Oryctolagus cuniculus: one gene and its partners. The main gene of each other region encodes a partner of the protein of the gene in region 2 in a complex. Links are inferred from orthologs where the notes say so. Each region holds a gene or a part of one and is shown on either strand. Other genes may lie near its edges.

The links. Proteins that work in one complex are often made in the same cells at the same time.
Region 1: the proteins of GNAO1 (region 2) and RGS16 are in contact, whole or in part, in a crystal structure (PDB 3C7K), measured with the Mus musculus proteins. The link is inferred for Oryctolagus cuniculus from reciprocal best matches to the Homo sapiens genes GNAO1 and RGS16. Residues at the interface, in NP_034438.1 of Mus musculus: Glu64, Asp65, Gln68, Ser75, Arg86, Thr117, Val180, Lys181, Thr182, Thr183, Gly184, Ile185, Val186, Gln205, Arg206, Ser207, Glu208, Lys210, Lys211, His214, His236, Glu237, Asp238, Glu239; in NP_035397.2 of Mus musculus: Glu85, Phe86, Ser87, Glu89, Asn90, Glu124, Ala125, Pro126, Glu128, Val129, Asn130, Asp132, His133, Glu134, Leu161, Lys164, Asp165, Ser166, Arg169, Lys172.
Region 3: the proteins of GNAO1 (region 2) and P2RY2 are in contact, whole or in part, in a cryo-EM structure (PDB 9K20), measured with the Homo sapiens proteins. The link is inferred for Oryctolagus cuniculus from reciprocal best matches to the Homo sapiens genes GNAO1 and P2RY2. Residues at the interface, in NP_066268.1 of Homo sapiens: Ala31, Lys32, Asp33, Val34, Leu195, Gln305, Glu309, Glu318, Ile319, Tyr320, Cys321, His322, Met323, Val334, Phe336, Thr340, Asp341, Ile343, Ile344, Asn347, Leu348, Gly350, Cys351, Gly352, Leu353, Tyr354; in NP_002555.4 of Homo sapiens: Asn66, Ser68, His130, Arg131, Gly134, Val135, Pro138, Leu139, Leu142, Arg143, Met221, Arg224, Leu225, Ala229, Tyr230, Gly231, Thr232, Ser233, Pro237, Ala239, Lys240, Lys242, Ser243, Arg245, Thr246, Leu308.

The regions. Positions count from the first base shown.
Region 1 is NC_091444.1:912,891-917,219, forward strand, and holds RGS16 (regulator of G-protein signaling 16), read right to left. Parts: upstream 2,816-4,329; 5' UTR 2,686-2,815; coding exon 2,642-2,685; intron 2,385-2,641; coding exon 2,289-2,384; intron 1,926-2,288; coding exon 1,861-1,925; intron 1,709-1,860; coding exon 1,542-1,708; intron 537-1,541; coding exon 348-536; 3' UTR 213-347; downstream 1-212. UniProt on the Homo sapiens protein: Regulates G protein-coupled receptor signaling cascades. Inhibits signal transduction by increasing the GTPase activity of G protein alpha subunits, thereby driving them into their inactive GDP-bound form.
Region 2 is NC_091449.1:40,103,793-40,107,935, forward strand, and holds the start of GNAO1 (guanine nucleotide-binding protein G(o) subunit alpha), read left to right. Parts: upstream 1-1,298; 5' UTR 1,299-1,389; coding exon 1,390-1,863; intron 1,864-4,143. UniProt on the Homo sapiens protein: Guanine nucleotide-binding proteins (G proteins) function as transducers downstream of G protein-coupled receptors (GPCRs) in numerous signaling cascades.
Region 3 is NC_091432.1:64,598,826-64,603,066, forward strand, and holds the start of P2RY2 (P2Y purinoceptor 2), read left to right. Parts: upstream 1-1,426; 5' UTR 1,427-1,832; intron 1,833-4,241. UniProt on the Homo sapiens protein: Receptor for ATP and UTP coupled to G-proteins that activate a phosphatidylinositol-calcium second messenger system. The affinity range is UTP = ATP > ATP-gamma-S >> 2-methylthio-ATP = ADP.

The sequences.
Region 1 (4,329 bases), on a different chromosome or scaffold from region 2:
CTGCTCGCTGGCCTGGAGGAGCCTGTGGGGCTGGACACGCGGTCCAAGCAGAGGCCCTGGGTGGCCACAGGCCGGTGAGGGCAGGTGAGGGCGTGCCGCCTGCAGGGCCCCTTCCCTGCACTGGGCGAGGACTGGGCAGCCCAGGGCACCCTGTGTTTCCCAGCCGCTCCCCCAGAGCCCCGCCCACAGCCTCCTTCATGCCCGGGGCTCTGTGCACGGGGTGGGGTCCGTGTATCGGAGGAGGGGGCTCCAGTAGCCGTGACCTCTCCGACCTTTGCCATGGCTGCACACTGCTTTGCAGAACCCGCGCGGGGGAGAGGGCAGCCCGGGGAGGGGGCTGCCCGGGCTCAGGTGTGTGAAGGCCGGGGTGGGGCTCCGGTGGCCAGGTCCCGGTAGGCGGGCGACTGCAGGAAGCGCGGGTAGGAGTCTTTCTCCATCAGTGTCCGCGCCTTGCCCTGCGCCACATCGAAACAGGCGGCCGTGGCGCCCTCCAGGTTCCTCTTGGTCAGCTCCCGCGTCTCATGGTCGAGGTTCACCTGGGTCAGGGCAGGCACGGTGAGCGGGGGGACAGGACGGGCTCCTGGGTCCTTGCCAGCCGCTTCTCAGCCCAGGGCCCGGCCCTGCTCCAGGGGCGTCCCTGCTCTCAATTCACAGGTGCACACAGGACGTCGTGAGGGAGAAGCCCGCTCTGTCCCCTGCCTGCGCAGCCCTGGAGAAGCCCCCGGTGCTGCCCTGCTCCCCCCCAGCCTGCCAGGACCCAACCAGGCTGAGGGCACCGCTGCTGCCCTCCCCGTGACCCAGAGGGACAGCCACGGTGCCACCTGTCACCTGCCCACTGCCACCCGCCCACCTGTCACCTGTCCATCTGTCACTTGCCCACCTGTCCACCAACCACCTGTCTACCAGCCCACTGCCACCTGCCCCCTGCCCACCGCCCACCTGTCCCCTGTCCGCTGCCCACCGCCCCCACCCACCTGCCCACCCTCCTCCCCTGCTCTCGGCCCGCGGCACTCTGGCCTCCGTGCCTGCCCCTCGCAGTTGCCGTGTCTGACAGCCGCTCCTGATCCCTCACGAGGGGAGAGGCCGGCCTCCTCCAGGACAGGCCGCTGGACACTCCCCCCCGGAGGAGCCAGGTCAGTCCCGTGGGCATCTGTTCAACGGCTCCGGGCATCACTGTGCAGGGAGGGCCTCTCGCTGTGGCCCTGTGACCACTGCGGTGTCCTGGGTGTAACTGGAGCCCCGGACCAGAGGTGCTCAGACACGAAACGCAGATGCAGAGCCAAGGGTCACCATGTCTGTCCACCAGGTGGCGCCACGGACTTTGTCAAACCCACGGAGGGACGGCTGACCTGGGGCCAGGGAAGGCGTGGGACAACAGCTGGCCAACTCCCCGGGCGGTGGGTGGAGCCCCCAAGCAGGTGTCCTAGGGGTGCACAGAGGCCGGCCGTGGGCACAGCACCCAGGGCTGGCTCAGAGCCTGGCCTTCGCCTCTGAGCCTGGCTCTCAGTGGGGAGGGAGCAGGGGCCCTGCGGGGCGCTGACCTCTCGCGGGGCCTCTGTGCAAATGAACTCCTCGAAGATCCTGCGGGCCCTGGAGGCCAGCTTGGCCGCCGACCGCGTCTTCTTGAAGTCCTCGCAGGCCAGCCAGAACTCCAGGTTCTCCTCGCTGAACTCCGTCTTGAGGAAGGCGCGGAAGGCGGCCACTCCCTCTGGGGTTAGGGGAGGAGGGGGAGGGTCAGCGGGAAAGACAGCAGCTGCAGGCAGAGGCTCCATTCTTAGGACGTCACCCCCCACCCCCCGGCCCTGCCTTTGTGTTCCCCGGGGGTCAGCGCCGGGCGCCCGGGGCCGTGGCCCCACTCACTTCTACTGCCCAGCAGCAGGTCGAACGACTCCCTCCAGCCCAGCGTGTCTTCCGAGGGCTTCCCGCTGCAAACAGCCACCGTGTCACATTTTCAGGAAAACAAGGGCACGGCCAAGCCCACACAAACCCCAGCACTCAGGACAAGGCGCTCGGCGGCAGGCGGCAGTCCCACACGCAGGGGTCCGTCCCACGGGCAGTTCCAGCCTCCGTCCTGTGTCCAGGCCGCCGCTCCCTGACTCCCACATGCCCAGAGCCCAGCGCCTGGCGCAGCCGACACCCAGGAGGGGAGGGCTCCCCGGCCAGGTGCACAGGCGCCCTGGAGGCTGAGCCACTGCCAGGCCCACGTGCCCTGGCTGCAGTCACCGCCAGGGGCTTGGGGCCCTGCAGCCTCCCACCCCCACCCCCGCAGCCGGTCCTGCAGCCCCTACCTCTCTCTGCTGGGCTTCCTGGGGTCGCTGCCCGCAGGGGGGCTCAGCTCCGGTCCCTGAAGGAAGTCGCCCAGGCGCGCCTTGAACTCTTTGGCTCTGCAAGATAAACCCAGAGCTCGCAGGGGCTCCCCATGCGCTCGGCCAACACGGGGGCTCGCAGCGCCGGCCCTCCAGTCTGCAGCAGTGCCCCCTGCCGCCTCCTGCTCCGCACTGCCAGGGATCCGGGTTCTCGGGCCTCGGAGAAGGCTCCCTTTGTGTGCACGGCCGGCGGCCTCCGCCCTACCTCAGTCCAAAGCCCACAGGCCGGAGAGCTGGCCCGCCCCCACCTCCCGTGGCCCCACAGGCCCCCTCACCTCTCCAGGCAGGAGGCGGGGAACGCGCTCAGGGTGCGGCACATGGCTGTCACCAGGGAGGGTGCGAGCTTTGCAGGGCCAACAGGTACACCCGGCTACTTCTGGCCCTGAGCGCTGCGGCTTTTGTGCCCTCGGCGAAGGCGGGGCTGACACCACCGGCCAATCGCGGAGCTGGTCAAGAGCCGCCAGCCAATCAGAGAGCCGGGCCGGGCGCGGCACCTCTTTCCCACGGCGGCCTGGGGAAGGCACAGCTAGTGGGGTCTGCATGTGCTGGGCGCTTGGCACCTACGCAGGGAAGTGCGGGTGTGGGGCGTGTGCTGACCGGGAAGCCGAAGCTCGCAGACGGCAGCTCCTCCCGGGCTCAGGGTTGGATCCCTAGGGAGCGGGTGCCAGGGCCCACGCGCTAATCTGGGTCAGGGCAGGTGGGCGTGATGTGGCGGCCAGAGCAGCTGGGAGGCCTCCCCCCTCCCCACTCCTGGCCCGCTGGGTCCCCAAGATGCAGACGCAGCACCCTGATCCCAGGGCTGTGGTGAGCACAGGGTCACTGCCCCTGGCAGCGGGCAGAGGACCAAGGGGCAGGGGGCTCAGGGGCCTTGGGGGCGTCCCTCCTGCCGGCCCAGGCTCCTGTTGGGCTGGTGTGGATGCACGTGTGGCAGCGAGGGTCTCAGCACCGCCCTGCCCACACAGCCTGCAGCTCTGGTGCCGCAGGCCCCAGGGCCCGCCCTGAGTGTGCAGTGCAGGCGTGGTGGCGCTCTCCATGCCCAGCCTGCCCCTGGTGCCAGCGCCGGAGCATGGATAGCCCAGGTTGAGTCAGCCGCAGGAGGACTGCGGACAGCAGCCGCTGGCAGGTTGGCACAGCAGATCAAGGCGTCCAGCGCTGGTTCAGGTCGCGGCCGCTCTGCTTCCGGTTTGACCCCTGCTGATGCCCATGGCCCCAGTAGTCGGGCCCCTGCTGCTCCCGTGGGAGACCAGGCTGGAGCCCCAGGCTCCTGGCTCAGCCTGGCCCGGTCCTGTCCACAAGCCGCGGAAGCAGCACGGGTTTCTCTCCCCCTTGTGGTGCTGGGCGGCTGCTGCCTGCAGCGCCCTGGACGCGCAGAAGCTGAGGGGCCACAAGCCCCAGGTCCCCAGCTGCAGAGCGGAGGGGAAGGACCCCATGCCCAAGGCCACCTCCGCGTGCTGCGCCTCCTCTGCAGGCAGAGGCTTCCTGAAATTCGAGTGCACCCCAAATCCGTGTCTGCCCCAGCAGTGACCTGGAAGCCTGCGGCAGGGCTGTGAACCCAGCAGGCCCACCTGGGACCAACCCGATCTCGCCTCCTCCTGCCATTCCCGCAGCAGGGATCACGGGACAGCGCTGCGGGCTGAGGCCTGGACTCCCACAGTGCCCAGCCACACCACCTGTGCCTCCTCTGCCCTCCAACCCCACCCGAGCGTTCCCATGGGGCTTTGTCTACCAGGACAGGGGAGGACGTGAAAACTGCTGTGTCCAGCCTGGCACGGATGACCCAGGGCAGTGCGCACGCAGCTCCAGCTGTGGCTCTGCAGAGAGCCCTTCCTCCCCTAAGGCCCTCGGCTAACGTCTGGGCTGGCCGCGCTGCAGGATCTCTCCCCATTGGCTCAGGGAGCCCCTGGCCCGCCCCTGGAGGGGAGCCAGACCCTCAGCCCCCAGAGCCTCGGGGATGCCCCACCCT
Region 2 (4,143 bases):
CGCACTCCTGTCTTTAGTCATAGCTCAGATGCCTGGACAGCAGGTGTGCTCTGCCTCAGGGGGAGTGCACAGCGGTGCACAGGGGCTGTAGCAGGGAGGATGCTGGGAAACACCCCCTGCTATTGGCCCAGGAGGCGCTCGGGATGGGAAGGCCGAGCTCAGCAGGAGCCCTGGCCCCGAGGCATGCAGATAGGGGGGGGGGGACGAAGGCCTCCTCTGGTTCTGTCCATTGCTTGTTAGGCTGGGCACTAAAGCCCCCCTTCCCTTCCAAGCCTCCCTCCCCCTTGCTCAAGGGGCTGGGCTGAGCGCCAGGGAGGCCTCAGTGCTGGCCTCGGGTGACCAGGCCTTGTCTGAGACACAAGCCCAGGGCTGTGGCTCGGGATGCCGGGGAGAAGGTGGACTTTGAGTCCAGGCCCTCCTGTTGACTAGCTGTGTGACCCTGAGCGAGTCACCCACGCACACAGGGTGCCCACCCCAGTAGGGCGGCTGCGATGTTGAAGTGAGATGCCAGCTTTGTCCAGACCGACAAGATAAGAAGAGGCAGTGGACAGATGGGGGCGGCGGAGTCAGAAAGTGGGGCGTGCCTGGCCTTACAGTGCAGGAGATCTGTTTGCCCTGGCCATGCACAAAGCACTGCAAGGCCCAAGGTGCCACGTGAGGTCGGGACACAGTCCCTGCCCTGAGGACAGGTGCAAGCAGCAGCAGCTGGGACAGGAATGGGTGCACCCTGTGGAGCAGCTTGGCCTGGGGCCAGGGGAGGGCTTCGCTGAGAAGGGGACGCTGAGAGGGAGGTGGGCTGGGGCTGCCCCGGCTCGTTTGGGGAGCGGAAGAAGGACCGGAGCTCTGAGAGGGTTTTAGGACACAGAAAGAGGCAGGGACTTCGTAAGGCCTCAGTGAGGAGTTTGCGAGTTAGGAATGATGGGAACCTATCGGAAGAATTTAAGCAGGAGTATTACTGTACCCATGAGGGTTAGGTTTGACAGTGAACCAGAGACCCTGAAAATAGCGGCTTTGAGAAGATAGAATTTTTTTTTTTGACAGGCAGAGTGGACAGTGAGAGAGAGAGACAGAGAGAAAGGTCTTCCTTTGCCGTTGGTTCACCCTCCAATGGCCGCCATGGCCAGCGCGCTGCGGCCGGCACACCGCGCTGATCCGAAGGCAGGAGCCAGGTGCTTCTCCTGGTCTCCCATGGGGTACAGGGCCCAACCACTTGGGCCATCCTCCACTGCACTCCCTGGCCACAGCAGAGAGCTGAAGATAGAAATTTAAGTGGACAAAAGAAAAACCGTTAAAATAATGCCGGTCTGACTCCAGATAGTGCCGCACCTCCTCCAGCCAGGCTGGTTGGAGATCCTTGTCCCACTCTCCCTAGGATCGGACCTTGTCTTCATGATGCAAGTCGGCTGGAGAGCTCCAGCCATCACACCCAAGTTCTGGGCGTTAGGAGGAGGAAGTAAGAGAAATAGGGTGCCCCTTCCCTTTAAAACCCGTCGCTGCCTTTCAGCGTACATCTCATTGCACAGAACCAGTCCCAAGGACGCCCCGCTGCAAAACGGGAAATGTAGTCTGTGGCCATCAGTGTGTTTCCTTCTTGGGCTTCTTGTCCGGAAGGAGAAGGGGAGAGTTGATGTTAGGAGGAAACCGACAGCCTCTGGCCTGGCGGGAAACAGAAGAGAGGCAGGACGGAGGCACCACACCCCGGACCTGGGAGGCTTCAAGGCGGATCGGTCCGGCAGGGCTCCAGGCCTATGGGTTCCAGAAGCTGGGCCCGTAGCGGTGCCGCCAGATGAGGAGCAAAACAGGAAGCCGAAGGGTGCTGCCGCACAGGACCACGCCCCGGCCCCTGCACAGGGCAATGAGGAGGTGAGGCAGGGAGGAGGGCTCTGGCCCACGGGCTGGGCGGCAGAGTCCAGGAATCATCAAATGCAGCTCCCCCCGCCCCCCCCCCCCCACCGTGGAGGGCATCCATTCCAGTCGCCCCTCAAGGAGCGAGCCCAGGAGCAGAAAGCACAGAGTTGAAGAGAGAACCACACTGCCCCCGTAGCACCATGGCTCTGGGGTGCCCAGCGGGGGGTGTTTCTCCCCTGGCACTTGGATGCTGCCGCCTTCTAACTGGGCTGCCCGAGACCCTGACAGCGGGGCCCCAGGAGGAAGCTTGGAAGACTTGGCCGAGTCTCTGGCCTGGGACAGCACCAGACTGCCCGAGGTCAGCCAGGCACCGGGGGGCAGGGTGGGGGCAGTGCCCTGACTCACAGGCCTCGCTCTGTTCCTAGCCCCAGGTGCAGGCCCCACCCCTGCTCTCCAGCCCACGCCTCCCTGAGTCACCACTGCCTCCCTGAGGCACCCAGAGCCCAGGCCCCACGGCCACCTTTCAGGTCACCACCGCCAGGGCAGGCACTCAGCAGCCCAGTGCTGACCCTGGGGAGCCAGGCTGTCTCGTTGGGCAGCCCCGCATTGTCAGCTGGGGGTGACTTGGGAACCCAAGGGCTGGGCATTCAGGACGCTGTCCCCAGGGAACCGGATTTGAGTGAGCAGGGTTGGCGTGTCTGGCCAGCCTCCAGGCCAGGGGCAACTTCCTTCCCTGGGCAGGCAGGGGCACCACTGCCACAACCCTTCCACTGACCCTGTGCCGTGGACAGACCCTCCACCTGAGTGGCTGTGTGGCCAGCAGGCCTAGAGGGCTTTGCCCCACCCCTTCGATACGGAAACCTGCTGACCACACGCCTGCTGACTTCCCTCCCTTTGTGTCTCTCCCGCCCTCAAAAAAGGCCTGTGGGTTTTCAGTACCTCCCACTCGTGTCCTGGGCCGTGTAGTCTGCCTCTCCTCGGCCTTCATCGGCGGGCTCGCAGTGGACCAATCGTCCAGTGATAACCACTGCACCCAGCCCGAGGACAACACCTCCACCCCAGAGGGCCTGCCGCCCCACTCCCAGCTCCTCCATCAGGTGTCATTGCCATCAGAGGTGTGGGCCCTGACTGCTCTCAGCACGCATAGCTCTGCCCCCAGCGGCGGCCGTGGAGGCAGAAGGCTCTGAGTCTCGAGTGCCAGCTCTGCCAGTCGCACCGTGGCCTTAGCCGAGTGCCTTCCTCTCTGGAGCTCCGAGGCTCCCCACCTATCAAATGGGGATTACGTACTTAGAGTGCTTGGCACTGCTGCGGCAATGCTAACAGGCCTCCCCAAACTGAGTCACTGATTCAGCTGAGGATCAAAGACCCAGGGTGGGTTCAGCTCTGTGCCATGCACCCCAGCTCCTCTTTCTGGGGTGAATGGGGAAGGCTGGGCAGGTTCACAATGATGATATAGGCCCCGAGTACACGGAGACCCCAGGGCTGCCTTAGGGACAAGCTGCTGCCCCCACGCCGTTCCGTGGGCCACGGCAAGGCCTGTGACTATCCTCAGAGTCAAGGAGATGGGAACACCCTCTGCCTCTAGGGAGTGCACCTGCAGAGATTCAGAGAGGGCTGAAGAAACATGCCCATTGCTGCAGCTGCCAGCTCCCTAGTGAGGAAGCGGAATGTGGGGCTGGCGCTGTGGCACAGCCAGGAAGGCTACCGCCTGTGAGGCCGGCGTCCCATGTGGGCTGCTCCACTTCCCACCCAGCTCCCTGCTAATGGCCTGGGAAAAGCAGTGGAAGATGGCCCAAGAGCTTGGGCTCCTTGCCACCCACGTGGGAGACCCGGAAGAAGGTCCTGGCTGTTGTGGCCATCTGGGGAGTGAACCAGTAGATGGACGATATCTCTCTCTGTCTCTCCCTCCCTCCCTCCCCCTCTCCCTTTAACTCTTTCAAATTTAAAAAAGGAAGCAGAATGTTTGTGCCCAGAAGCCCTTTTTGAACCGTGAAGTGCCGTGTGTGTGTGCAAGTGCCAGAGATGGCAGCTGTGTGACTTCCCCCAGAGCCTTGTGAGTCTCCAGCAGGTTTACTTACAGCCGCTGAAAACATGAGGGGAAGGGAGAAGAAGCCCGTGGATTATGCAGAGCCTTTCCTGCAGGCCCAGTGCTGTCCTTGCCTGCACAGTGTACCTAAAGCAGTTCTGCTACAGCCCCTCCCAGAGGGTGGGCCACAGGTCACAGAGGAGTCAGTAGGAATTCATCCAGTCGTTTTATTATGTACACACATACACACACACACACATACACACTCA
Region 3 (4,241 bases), on a different chromosome or scaffold from region 2:
GGAGCTGGATCACAATCAGAGTATCCGGGACTTGAACCAGGCACTTCCGACAAGGGATGTGGGCATCTCCAGCAGTGGCTTCACCGAGCCTGGAATCTAAACCCAAAGTGGTGGGGTTCGAGGACAAGGCCCTTTCCTATGCTCCTCAAGCCTCAGTGACCGCCGGGTGTGGGAGCTTAGGCTGCCTATCTCAGGGTGCAACGTCTTCAACTATGAAGTCAGGGAGCTGGACGGACGCAGGGGCAGAGCCCTGGACAGCTGCCAGCCTGGTGTGTCTGCTGAAGGCCAAGGCCAAGCCAGGGCCTCATCTTCCTATCGACAGAGTTTTCTCCTGAGCTGACTGTAGTGAAGGTAGAGACTTGGAAGAGGGAGGTGGAAAAAGAAGCTTGGCTGGGGCTCCAGGGCCCAAGGGAACTTCCCCATACTGAGACCCCAAGCTGGGGCTTTGGCAACACCTAGGCCCTGGCAATTGCACGGGCCAGCTCGGACAACAGACGCAGGCGGCTGGACAAGGGCCCAGGGAGGCTGCAGGGGTGGAGCAGCATTCACCCTGTGCTTGCTCCTTGCAGGGCTGCAGCCAGCACCCTCCCAGGGCCCCTCCCAGGGCCCCTCCCAGGGCTGGCAGCTGGGTCCCCGTTGAATGCTGTGGAGCCCAGCAGGACCCAGCTCCTTGGCTCCAGGAAGAGGGCTCCTCTGCCCTTGTCCAGCCCCGGAGCACTCGGAGTGTGCTGTGACAGGACACTGGGGGCAGGAGGATGTGTGTGGCTCCATTTCACAGCAAAGGTGGCCCTGAGAGGACTAGAAGGGAGCCAGGCTCTCGCAAGGGTCTGTAGCTGGCTCAGCAGCCTCACGCCTTACTCCCACACAGATCAGAAGTGGGGGGCTGGGGGCGGGGGGCGGACACTACGTGGGGCGGGGCGCCCTGCCGGCTGAGAAGCTACTCAGAATGTGGGACCAGAGAAGCAGCCCAAACTGTTGCAAGCATTTGGGGAGAGGGGGAAGCATCCCCGACGCCGCCCCTCTTTCTTCATTAAATAGGAATGTTCAGGGAACTTCTAAGGGAGATAAAGAAAGGGTCGGGGAACACCGGGAGGCTCCCTCCGTCCACTCCGGAGCCGGGCGCTCGGCTTTCCTGCCCAGGGCAGTGGCGAAAGACCCCAGCCGCAGCCTCAAGCAAAGGAGGCGCGTCGCCGTCAGACGGGGCCTGAGGCGGGCCCGACGTGGGCAGCGGCGAGGAGCGGAGGCCCCGCAGCGGGCAGCGGCAGGGGCCGCTCAGGCGCTGGGCAAAACCTTGCAGGGCTTCGGCGCCAGAGAAACCCTCTCCTCACGCGCTGGCTCTCTCGCCGCCGGCCCCTGCCGGCGCAGCGCCCCTTGCGGACGCGCTGACCCCGCGGCGGTGGCGCTGGGCGGCGTCCCGGGGCGGGTGGCCCGGTGTCTGCCGGGGCGGTTGTGGGGCGGCGCCAGGGCCCGTCCAGAGTTCGCCCTGTTCCCCGCCCGGCCGCGGGTGGGGAGCGAGGCGGGTCGGGGGCCGCGGGGCTCCCGGGCGCGTGGGTCCCGCGGCGGTGGGTCCCGCGGCGGTGGTGGCAGGACGCGGGTGCCAGCCACCCCGAGCTGCAGCGACCGCACCCCGGGCGGCCGAGCGCGGCTCTGAGGGGCGGGCCGCCCGCCGGGGCCGGGACACCGGGAGAGGTTGGCTGGCGCAGCTTGGGGACGCGGCCGGTGAACCCGGCGCGGGTGCCGACTCGCGCAGAGGGGGAGCCGGCAGACGTGGGTGGTGTGAGCGCACCGGAGGACGGAGGCTGAACTTGGTGTCCCCGGGAGCGCCGACCTCGGTGAGTGGGGACAGCTACCCCGGGAGCGAGAGCGCGGGCCCTCGCACTGGCACGTGCGAATGTGAGCCGCTGCGTGCGTGCGCCCCCGGGGCCGCCGCTGAACTTTTGGAACTGGAGTGTGTGTGCGCACTCCGGCTGGGCGCCGGTGTGGAGTGGGGCCAGAGCAGTGGGAGCTGCGCTGCGCTGCGCGCTGGTCCGCCCCCGGGGCGGGGGGTCCACTCTGGGTGGCCTTCGCGTCCTGGGGGTCTCTAAGACTGGGGGGCAGGGGCGGGGCGCAGCAGGGGCTGTGGGAAGGGTCAGTTAGGAGAGAAGCCCGCCCCCGGACTAGGGCTACCAGCGGCAGATCTGGGACTCTCCAAAAGCGCTCCCAAGGGCCAGGCCCTGCTGGGGAGGGACCTGTGGGGGCCAGGACTGTTGTTTCTCTAAACATAGGGTCCCCGGCTTCCCTGAGCCCCCGCCCGGAGGGTCTGGGACCCAAGTTGGAATGAGGGTGAGCTTTTGAGGGTAGGGGGAGGCCGAGGAGGTGCCAGTTATCTGTGGGGGAGGGGGAGGAGGAAGGAGGGTCTGCCTACCCCAGAGCCCTGGAGGCTCAGAGACCTGTGTCCCAGCCTCACCTGGCCGCCATGGGACTCTGCTTTATAAGGAGGGAATGATAACACGGATGTTAATAATGACACAGAAGCTGAGGGCTCATGTTCAGCCCCAGTGCCTATCTGGGCCGGCCTGCAGCTTGGGGGTGGGGACACAGGTGTCACTCCCTGGAAGGAGCCTCCAGAAACGGGCGTCACCCTGTGCCCCCGCCCCAGGACCACTCGGAACCCCTCAGCCTGCCAACCCTTCTGGCCACGACCTGGCGACTGCACCCTTCAATAATAGCAGGTGACCTCTGCTCTGGTGCACACGAGGCTGTTACCACTCTCTGGCTCAGGACATTATCTTCCATGCCCACTGCCTGATAGGCCCTGCAGCTCTCATCCTCCTCACCTGAAGAACTGCTCAGCCAGGGCCCCAGTTCAGATGCCCCCCCTTCCAGGAAGCCTTCCTTGATCACCCCCATCAGGTTGGAGCCTCTTCTGGTGCTGTGAGCTCTGGTCCTTCTTACCCAGGACTATCACAGTCCATGTCTATCATCTGTGTCCCTCGAGCCAGGTACAGGGCCTCCGGGAGGGCAGAGACTGGCCCTCACCCGCCTCTGTGCTGCCAGCACGCTGCGCAGAGCTGAGAGCAGGGGCGCTCCCTCTACCCTGCCTCCCGCCGCTGAAGAGCTGCCTGCAGCAGAGCTCCGTGCCGTTACAAAGACGGGGAACAGGGAGCAAACTTATCTGCTAGGGGGCACAGGCTGCCGGAGCACTGTGGTCTGGGCCGCTGGGAGTGGGGGTGCAGGCTGAAAACCTGGATTCTCTGAGAGGCAGTCGGGAGCCGTGGACGGATGAGCAGGGGGGAATCGTGGTCAGAGAGCATCTCAAGAAGCCTCTGTGCGTGGGGGGGGGGGGACCTGAGAAGTGCTGCGGCAGGTGGGGCCGGGCCACCCCAGCCACGCAGGCCCTGGCCCCAGGCCCAGGCTCCCCCACCCCCCGAGGCCTCTGATGCTCCTTCTGTGGAATCTGGGGACCCTTAGGACTCTCCCACCCCCACGGGAGCCAAGCAACCTTGCAACTGATCCCCTTCTAGCTCTGCCCCCAACTTGCTGGGTGCCCCTGCCCTGCCAGCTCTGAAAGGACATCAGCACCAGTGAGGTCCTGAGGGGGGGGGGGGGGCTGGCGTGCAGGGCTTGTCTCTCTCTTGCTTTATCTTGAAGATTTTTAAATTAAAAAGTTTTTATTTGAAATGCAGAGTGACAGAGCGTGAGATCTTCCATTTGCTGGTTTACTTCCCAAATGGGATCTCCAGCGTGGGTGGCAGGTGCCCGAGCACTTGGACCATTTTCTGTTGCTTTCCCAGGTGCGCATTCGCAGGGAGCTGGATCAGAAGCAGAGCAGCCCTCCGAATGGGCTGCCAGGGTCACGTAGCGCTGCTGTATCTGCTGTGCTGCAGTGCCAGCCCTTGTCACTCTTGTCTCTGGCCTGCATTGAGCTGCCCCGGGCGCTGCTCACAGGGTCGGCCGAGCTGGGCTGTGGAGAGAAGCTGTGGCCTGTCCTTCCCTGTTGCCCTCCTGCGCTGGATGCACGGGGCTCCCAGGCTGGCCCCTGGGTCCCCTGAGGACTGGTTGAGAGAGAGTGACCTCATTAGAGCTTTGGTTTCGTGGCTGTAGCCATTGTGCCTCTGTAACATCAGCTTTGCCATCTGTACATTGGGAATATGATCCTGCCTCTTTGAACACAGAGCTGCTGCGAGGATTCTTAGGACCGTGGCCAGGAAAGGGCGTTGTAAGCTGTGAAGAGCTTTAAAGAGCAATGCACAGGGCGAGTG